Sus scrofa: one gene and its partner. The protein of the gene in region 2 purifies or fractionates together with the protein of the main gene of each other region. This does not show direct contact. Links are inferred from orthologs where the notes say so. Each region holds a gene or a part of one and is shown on either strand. Other genes may lie near its edges.

What was found.
Region 1: the proteins of SNX8 (region 2) and FBXW7 purify together in Homo sapiens (affinity purification with mass spectrometry; 3 studies listed by BioGRID and IntAct, counting the BioPlex papers as one, with this or other methods). This does not show direct contact. The link is inferred for Sus scrofa from reciprocal best matches to the Homo sapiens genes SNX8 and FBXW7.

What each region holds. Positions count from the first base shown.
Region 1 is NC_010450.4:76,480,496-76,484,992, forward strand, and holds the start of FBXW7 (F-box/WD repeat-containing protein 7), read left to right. Parts: upstream 1-1,531; 5' UTR 1,532-2,635; intron 2,636-4,497. Other genes in the region: uncharacterized protein LOC110262137, read right to left, coding at 251-321. UniProt on the Homo sapiens protein: Substrate recognition component of a SCF (SKP1-CUL1-F-box protein) E3 ubiquitin-protein ligase complex which mediates the ubiquitination and subsequent proteasomal degradation of target proteins.
Region 2 is NC_010445.4:1,616,161-1,620,577, reverse strand, and holds the start of SNX8 (sorting nexin-8), read left to right. Parts: upstream 1-1,586; 5' UTR 1,587-1,634; coding exon 1,635-1,728; intron 1,729-2,158; exon of another isoform or gene 2,159-2,173; coding exon of another isoform or gene 2,174-2,213; intron 2,214-4,417. UniProt on the Homo sapiens protein: May be involved in several stages of intracellular trafficking. May play a role in intracellular protein transport from early endosomes to the trans-Golgi network.

The DNA of each region.
Region 1 (4,497 bases), on a different chromosome or scaffold from region 2:
TTTGGATGAAGGGTAGCTGGGCAGTTGCTATTTTGTGTGAGCCTCTTCTTGCGTCCGCAACATCCATCCCCCACCCCATCACTTTCTAAACAGCACTTTAATAAAATATGAGCCCTTGGAATCGCCCTATTAAAAGTTTCCCTGGCCTACTACTTGAATATGCTGGTGGCAATAGTGGCAGAAACCCGGAGCTCCCAAGGTCTGTCTCTTGCTCCTCAGCCCTTGAGGTGGAAAGACTTTTAATACCCACCACTGACGCTTCCAGAGGAGGTACGGTGTCCAGGGTCCAGAGACAGTACTGTGGAATCTGCTTCCTTTCATCCTTACTGCTTTTATCTCATTCTCACACTATGCACCAGGCCAGGTTCAAGACAGATTTCTGAGGATCTGGTCCTTTTATTTTAAAATTTCTTTGCCTAGAGAACTACGTTCAACCTGATGAGTTTTTACGTGAATTTACTTTCCAGGATAACATTTCTAGGAAAAGCTGCATAAAGAGTAATCATGTTTATCTGACACACAGGCCAACGTTTCTTGACGACGGTAATGGACAGTGATTAACAGCCAACACCAGCTCTCCCAGGCACCAAGCCACAAGCAAGACTGAGTCCTAAAAGGGAGTCGCTACTAAATTCGCCCTCTTGAAAAAGTAAAAAAACCCTTCCACAGTTCCGGGAGGATGGCTCCCCTCCCTCGTCCCGGCAATTCGCCTCCTGTTTCGCTAGACTCAGCCTGTGACTCCTCACTCAAGCCGCACCCCCACTTCCTCCGGAGGCGGGGGGACTGAGGGAAGAGGGACGCCTGACAACGCTCATCTTGACAACGCTACGCAGTCGGCAAGGCGCTTGCACTTCCGTCGGACTCCTCTGCACTCCACGAGTGAGGCATTCTTTCATTCATCAAACATTTGCTCGGCCCGACCACGCGTTATCTGGCGCTGAGTCTCGCTCCACACCGCGGAAAGGGTGGGGCGCTCGCTCCCTCCAGCAGGTGCAGCGGGCAGAGCTGTAAGATAACTTCTCGCTCAGCTGGGCTCTCCGAAGGACCGTCTGGGGGCCAAATGCCTCACCTTCGGGTGGTGCGCGCCCGACCGCAGCCGGGCGGCCCAGGCCTCCTCCTTGCTCTCCAAGGAGCAGTCACCACCTGCTCGGAAGGAAACCGCTACAGAGCACACTCTCCCCGCCGCCCTCGGGTCAGGGGTAGGATCCGGCGGCAGCTTAGGCTCCACTCGGCTCCTCCCCTTCCTCTTCTCAGTTCTGACGCGGCTGTAGAGGCGGCGGCAGCAACAGCGGCGAGTCCCGCGGCCCGAGGTGCACCCACCCGCTCTTGGAGCCCGACTTCCTCTTCCCTTGGCGCGTCATCAGCGCGCGTCCGTGGCACCCGGGGCGGGGTTGTTGGAAAGGAGGAAAGAGGCCCGCGGAGGACGGCTGCGAGCGGAAAGCGAAGGGGAGGGGGGGAGGGAGCGGTTGCTAGGTGACTTACGTCATTGCTCCGCGCCGCTCTCCTCCCGCCCCTCTCTCTGGAGTGAGGCGAGAGCCCCGCACTGAGCGAGCGAGACAGCGAGCTGAGCCCCGGGCGCTACAGCCGCCGCTGCCGTGATCGTGAGCGCGAGAGAGCCTCCGAGGGACCCGGCCTCCGTGCCCTGGCCACCGCCGAGACCTCCGCCCTAGCCGGGGCCATCGGGAGCCGCCGCCACCCCTCTTCTCCCCCCCTCACCTTTCCGGCCGGCAGCAGCGGCTGCACACGCCGGAGCCCGAGCCCAAGCCGGAGCCGGTGGCTGGGGGGCAGGGAGGCGGCTGCCTCTGGCCGGGACTAGCCAGCCGCTCCGTGGTGAGAGGACGCTGAGGAGGGGCCGGAGCTTCTGTCTCGTCCTGGGGCGCGGGGCGAGGACCCCCAAGGTGGAGGGAGGGGGTCCCAGCCGCAGCGACACATGCGGGAGCCGGGAGCGGGGGCGGCGCCGAGCGGAGCCGGCCGGGTCCCCCACCTCGCCGCCGCGTCGGCCACCCGCCCGGGGCCGTAGCATCCCGCCTCGGAGTGTATGAGCCGGGCCCCCCAGCTCGGCAGCCACCCCCCGGCCGGGGGGGCGGGGACCCCGATGTGAAGCGGCGGCCGGGGCGGCGGGGACAGCAGGACCGGCGCCGCCGTCCTTCCCTTCCCTCCCCCCTCCCCTCCGCCCCCTCGGGGGGCTTCTCCCTCGGCCCGTCGCCGGCCCCCCGGCTCCTCGGCAGGACTCCAGGAGGAGTTCTTAGAGCCCCCTCCCCAGCCCCAGCCCCGAGGGCGGCGGGGCCGGGGGGGACCCGGGGGGCCGGCCGCAGTCTCCGCCCAGAGTAAACTTTTTAAAAACCAAATCGGGAGCCTCCCGAACGTGACTGTCCGGGGAGAAGTGGCCCAGGACGGGCAGAAGACCCAGCCTGAAGAGACGCAGGAAGAGGAAAAAACAGAGGTAAACGGGGCCACCGCTGCCGCCGCCTCTGCCCCGGTGGCGCGGAAGAGAGACCCGGGTGGCTGCCCGGCTTCGCGATCCCAGCCCCGCTTCTTACTCTGTAAGGCGCCGGAGCCTGCTCAACTGCCCTATCGGTCCCGAGGAGGAAGAGAACCAGCTCACTTGGTCAGCGCCCCGGCTCATCTCTAAAGTGTGAGTGGCCCGGGAAAGGGAAAGGGCGGCGGGGACGGGGGAGGGGGTAAAAAGGGGGAGGATGCTGGTGCGTCCTCCGGAGAGTTGCAGATGCTTTCCGGGAGCGTTGGGGGTGCACACAGGAGAGGGTATCTTAGTCCTCCCCGCGGGGAGAAGGCATCAGGCAGCCCTGACTTTGTAACCTTTTAGCTCTCTGTACCAGACATACGCAAGCTTTCAGGTTTCTCTTTGAGGAGTTCTTTCTCCAGAGTGGACGCTTGCACTTTTCAGGCCAGTAATTAGCAAAGGGAAATTGAGGAAGCCGGAGCCTACGTGTGCACAAAGGACATCTCTGTAACCTTACCTTTTCCTGGCACACCGGGTGGGAACGGGCGCTGTAGTTTTTGTGTCCGGGCAACGCTTACTTGGTTTCCCACGTGGGAACCTCCGTGAACCCCTGAAAGTAAAATTCCTTTCTTTTTGGGCAGCCCCCTCTGAGAGGCTGGGTTTCAGTGCCTATCAGTACAGGAGTTTTTCGGGTTCTCATTTCCTGGGTGCAGCCCTTGGGTATCGAAGGACACCGTAAGGGATTTCAATTATGGAGGAAATTCTCAGTTTTTAGGAATCACAGTTCATTTGGGGGAGAGCATTGAGTACTTTAACCAGTTTGTAAAAGTTATTACATTTTTTTTGCAAATGCCTTTTTTTTTTTCTCTTATGAGTAGCATATGTCCTAATTGCTAACACTTTTTTTATTTGGTGAAATGACCTAAAGCTTTGCTTATTTGGGTTATCTCATGGTTCTCTACCTGATGAAGAGAAACTTCTGATGTGTAATTCTTTGAAGAATGATTTTCTCCCCTTTATTTTAACAGTGAAGTCTGTAAAATCTTTGATTTGTATTTTAGTTATTTTCTCAAGGTGCCAGATGAAGGGACAGGAAAGTAATTTACCATTTCATATATTTGTACAGACCTTAAGGGTTAAGCATAGGGTGGATTTTATATAACAGAACTAGACAGTACTCTACTGAGAACTGCGTGAGCTCACGTTCTCTGAAGCCACTGCTGAGAGAAGCTTTGTGGGAATGAATGTAAGCCTGGGGTTATCTAGGCTAACTTTCACATTCAGGATCTTGAGTAAACTTACTTAAAACGTTCTCTAATACTTTTCATTTGGTACTTTTTCTCTTTTCAACTAATGAATTCTGCAAGTTTATTAGCCCCAGAATTATGCAACAGTTCATTTATTTAACCCAGACCTGTCTCTTGAAAGTTCCAAGGCACATCCTGAGTTTGAGTTTTGACAAATGCTAGAGCAAACCAGAGTTCATCGTCTCCTGGTTTTGTAGATTTTGATTGTTCCTCTCTACCAGCATCTTTCCTGACTCTTTTTGTCTGTCTTAGAATCATTTCTTCCATCCCTTTGATTCCCTCTGGAACTTCTTCAGCTGTTTTGTTGTTCTTTATTTGCCTTGTTCTTGTTCTGCTTTTGTTAGGAACCCTAAATTCTATCTATTTTAAGTAGACTCTGACATTAGACTATTGAGTTGTGGGCATAATGTTAGACAAGGAATCAAAAACAAATGTCTCTGGACCTGTTCTTGTGTGACCTTGAGGAAGTCATGTATTCCATGCTTCACAAAGGCAGGAGGAAGAGAAATCTAGTCCCGAATAGGCTGTGTTTTGGGGGGAGGAAGGAAAGACAAGCCAGCAAGTTAGTTTGAGTGTAGATTATACTCCATCAAAGTTATTAACTTTAAGACTTTTATTGCTTTGGCTATAGATTGGTTAAAAATCAAGGTAATGTTTTATTGCCTATTTGGGTAGCAAAGAAACAACTAAGTATTCCGGGGATCCCTGCCTTTGAGATGCTTCTGCTCG
Region 2 (4,417 bases):
TGAATACTAGTCAGGTTCGTTACCGCTGAGTCACGATGGGAACTCCTAGGGAGCTTTTTTAAAAAACAAACAAACAAATGAAAACCAAATTCAAGTCCAGGTCATTCCCTAGACCATTTAAACCAGAACTTCTGAGGGTGGGTTTCAGGCAGAGCTTGTTTGAATGCCCTCCTGGTGACTAGTGCAGCCCAGATCCAGGATCACTGAATGAAGGTGGTGTGACCACATGTCAGGGGGGTAAAGTAAAATGATACATTTAATATGCCGTTTTTCTCCAGTAATGTCTAATTTTATGCTTGTTTAATGCTTCAGTTTTCAAGGCGCAGTGAGTGTTTAGATATTTAACAAAGATCTTATAATCTGGGGGGGGGGTCAGAGATACGTAGCAAAGAATACCTGGAAATTAGGAGGGAGAAGAGGGGGAGGGAGAAGCGGGGAGAGACCAGGCCTTGGAGGGGAGAAATTGCTGAGGACATCATTTGATGCAAAAACAGCTTAAAGGAAGCCGATCTGGCGGAAGGAAAAGCATGGGATGGGGGAGGTGTCAGGCTCAGCCGTGTCCCTCTGTGGCTTCGGAAAGCAGCTATGTGCCCATCTGCGGAAGGGGATGGCACTTCCTCAGTTATGCTGGGAGCCAGCTTGTTGTTGGTACCAACTCCCAAAGATGTCCAGTAGCTATAGCAAGGAGAACGAACCCCCTGGGGAGACTGGGGTCCTTCCTAGGACCCTCCCAGGGGCTCTGGGCTCTTGGTTACTGTTCCCGGCTCCCCCCCTGAGCACTGAGAGGCATCCCAGTATTAGGGGATCCATCCAGGGTCCTTACTTGGTAAACAAGACGCTCCCTGATGGGGCCCTACCCACCGCTCCAGCTTCCTCTTCTGCCCCCACGCTTTCAGCTCCAGGAACACCACAGCGTGTGCCGCCGTGTGATGTCTCAGGGCCTTCGTGGATGCGGGGACCCACTCCCTCCTCCTGCTGAATTCCTCATTCCTCCAGCCTCGGGTCGGGCTCTAGTCATCCTGAGAGCCTTTACCCCGGCAGTGCCGCGGGAACCCTTTGGTGCGGCGCTCCTGCAGCCTTGTTTTGGTTTTGGCAGTCGGGACATTTGCTCCACTCTGGTGGCCCGTCTGTCCTCCAGATGGGGAAGTACCTAATGCAGCTTTGTATCCTCAGCACCCAGCACAGGGGCTGCCTGGCCTCCAGGCGGCAGTCGGGAGACTTGAGTAAGCGAGCGAGTGGGTGGAGGGGTAAATGAGCCAACGACTGAATGACAGGGTGGGTAAGTGAGCAAATGAATGAGCAGGCTCCTGAGTGGGCAGACGAACGAGGACGTGAGTAAGCGGATGAGCGGGGAGCGGGTGAATGAACGAGTGGATGGGTGCCTGAGAGAGGGCAGGTGGGGGCTGATGAGTGGGCGAGGGCGCCGGCAGAGAACGCGCGGGGAGCCGCGGCGGACGCGGGGCTGCGAGCGCGGGCCTGGACCGCGCCACCTGCCCTCCCCTCTGCAGCGTGGCTGGGGCGGGGCGAGACGGGGCGGGGCCAGGGCGGGGATGGGCGTGGCGGCCCGGAGTGGGCGTGGCGAGGCCGGGCAGCGGCCGGGCAGGCGTGGAGGAAGTCACGTGGCGCGCGCTCACATGACTGGCGGCGCGATGGACCCGCTGCCCGCGGCGCCAGTCGCTGCAGCACCTGAGGCGGAGGCGGACGAAGAGGCGGACCCGCCGGTAGCAGGTACGGCGGGCGCCCAGCAGGCCGGGCGCGGCTTGGGCCCGAGACCCCTCGGCCTTCGGTTTTCTTTCTGCCCCCCGACGCCGCGCGCCCCGCCGGGTCCCCCTCCCACTCCCGCGTCCACGCCCAGGAGGGCGCGTGGCTCCGCGGCCCAGCGCGCGCGTTTGCACCTCGCCGCGCGCTTCTGCCCGCGTCTCCCCGGGGCTGCCCCGGTCCCTGGGGGCCCCGAGGCCAGGCCTCCGCGCGCTTCCTGCGTGCCGGCCTGCCCACCGCGTGGGGCGCCGTCCCTGGACCTGTCCGGCCTTGGCAAGTACTCTGGTCGCCCGGGACTTGGGCGTTTTCACCCGTCAGCCCGCTGTATTTCTCCCTAAGTGCTTTTTCTGATGGATCAGCGTGAACACGAAGAAGCATGCGTGAGGCTTGGCTTTTCTAGGATCTTCCTGTGTAAATGGTCCCCCCTCACCTCTCTAACTGGAGAGTAGATGTAGGTGGGTGTTGGTCTGAGTTACTGCTGCTGCTTGGTGGTGGTGGTGGGCACAAGGTCGGCGACTCTGCCTGGAGAGTCTGGAAAGGTGTCCTTGCGGTGGCTGTGCTTCCGATGCGTTCTGGAGGGCTCTGAGAGTTGATTCATTAGGGAGAAGAGGAGGCAGGAGTGGAGTGAAGCCGCTGCGGGTAGGGGCGAGGGGGTGGGCAGTGCATTGCGTTGGCCTAATTGACGGGAAAGACCCTGGGTGAGTCTGCATGTAAACAGCCCCCCCCTCCGCCATTGGTCTGTAGTTGTATTTCCTTTGACTGGAAGCTGCGTAAGGGAAGCATGTGATGGCTGTTGCTCCTGGTTAGAACATTGTGTTCCTGAGGGCACAGGTTGGCCCAGCGTTCACCCACCCATACCAGGGCCCCTGACTGGACTCCTTGGCGGGGTCACACTTGGACCTGCGGGGCAGTGTGTGGGTAGGAATGCTTTTTCCTCTGAGGACTGTAAAACAATTTAGAGTTGCTGGATGTGGTGGCGGCTCAGGTCTCTTTGCAGGAACGGGGCTGGCTGGCACTGAATGATTTCTGCCTGCTGGCCTTCCCTGGGGCTGTGGTGGTGGTATTCGGTGTTCTGCTACCATCAGGGTAGCGCTTCTCAGTTTACTGAGTGCTTTCCTATAGCTGACTGCGTCTCAAAGTGTGGTTCATGGACCTTCGAGATGTACGTAGCCTCTCGTTTTGTTCTGTTCATATCCTTATGGTCATCCTGTGAGGCAGGTGAAATGGTAGACCAAAACTCAGATTTTCTTTTTTCGCTTTTTACATTGGGAAAACTAAACCCAGAGGCAAGTGACTTGCCCAGAGTGGGCAATGTGGAGTTCCTGTTGTGGCTCAGTGGTCATGAACCCGACTAGAATCCATGAAGATGTGGGTTCCCTCCCTGGCCTTGCTCAGTGGTTAAGGATCTGGTGTTGCCGTGAGCTGTGGTGTAGGCCAGCAGCTGCAGCTCCGATTGGACCCCTAGCCTGGGATCTTACATATGCCACAGGTGCAGCCCTAAAAAGACCAAACAAACAAAAAAACCCAAAGTGGGCAATGCTTAGGGGGTATGATGTCTTATTGGGGATGGTGGTTGGATGGGCTGGAGTCAGAAAATCTAAGCCTTTCAGGAGTTCCCTGTGGTGCAGCAGGTTAAGGATCCAACATTGTCACTGCAGCAGCTCAGGTTGCCTCTGTGACGCAGATTTGATTCCTGGCCTGGCAATGTCCACATGCCGCAGGTGCGGCCAAAAAAAGGAAAAAAAAAAATCTAAGCCTTTGAGAGTGAATTTTATACAAAGATGTTATGTGTATCTCATGGTTTAGCAAAGGTTGATTCTGGCTGTTGAGAAGTTGTGGCTTATGGGTATACAACGAATTTCCTTTTCTCTGCTGTTGTCCAAATACTACCATTAGTATTAATTGTTGGAGTTTCCATCGTGGTGCAGCAGAAACAAATCTGACTAGGAACATGAGGTTTTGGGTTCAATCCCTGGCCTCGCTCTGTGGGTTAAGGATCCGGCGTGGCCGAGAGCTGTGGTGTAGGTTGCAGATGCGGCTTGGATCCCACGTTGCTGTGGCTCTGGCGTACGCTGGTGGCTACAGCTCCGATTCAACCCCTAGCCTGGGAACCTCCATATGCCGCAGGTGCAGCCCTAAGAAGACAAGAAAAAAAAGTATTAATTGTGGGGACTGTGGGGTCTATGTCTTTGTAATACCTTTAGGATTGTCGGGGGCGGGGGAATTGTGTGCACTGTGGTTTGCAGCCTTGTTACATTTTAACATTGCAGTCTTGTTACATTTTAATTCCTTGAAGCTTAAGCTGTGAGTGATAACTCCCTTCCTAAAAATTTAACTCTCAGTTATGGGGAACATGGACAAACACATTCTCTTCAGAACATACAGAACCTTCTGAAGTCTCCACCCGTTTGCCGTCACCCCCACTTAACCCGTTTGGGGCGGATCCTCTCTGGTTCTATGTTTTGTACGTGCGTGTGCTCAGGCATCCTACACCTGAGGCACGCGTGTCGCGGTTTCCCTGGGTGATGTTTTGGTTTCTACTGCTGCTGTAACAAAGTCACAAACCTGGCGGCCTAAACAGCAAAAGTTGGCCATTTTACAGTTCTGGAGGTCAGTAGTCCAAAGCAGGGTTCCCTGGGCTAAACCCAGGTGTGGGCAG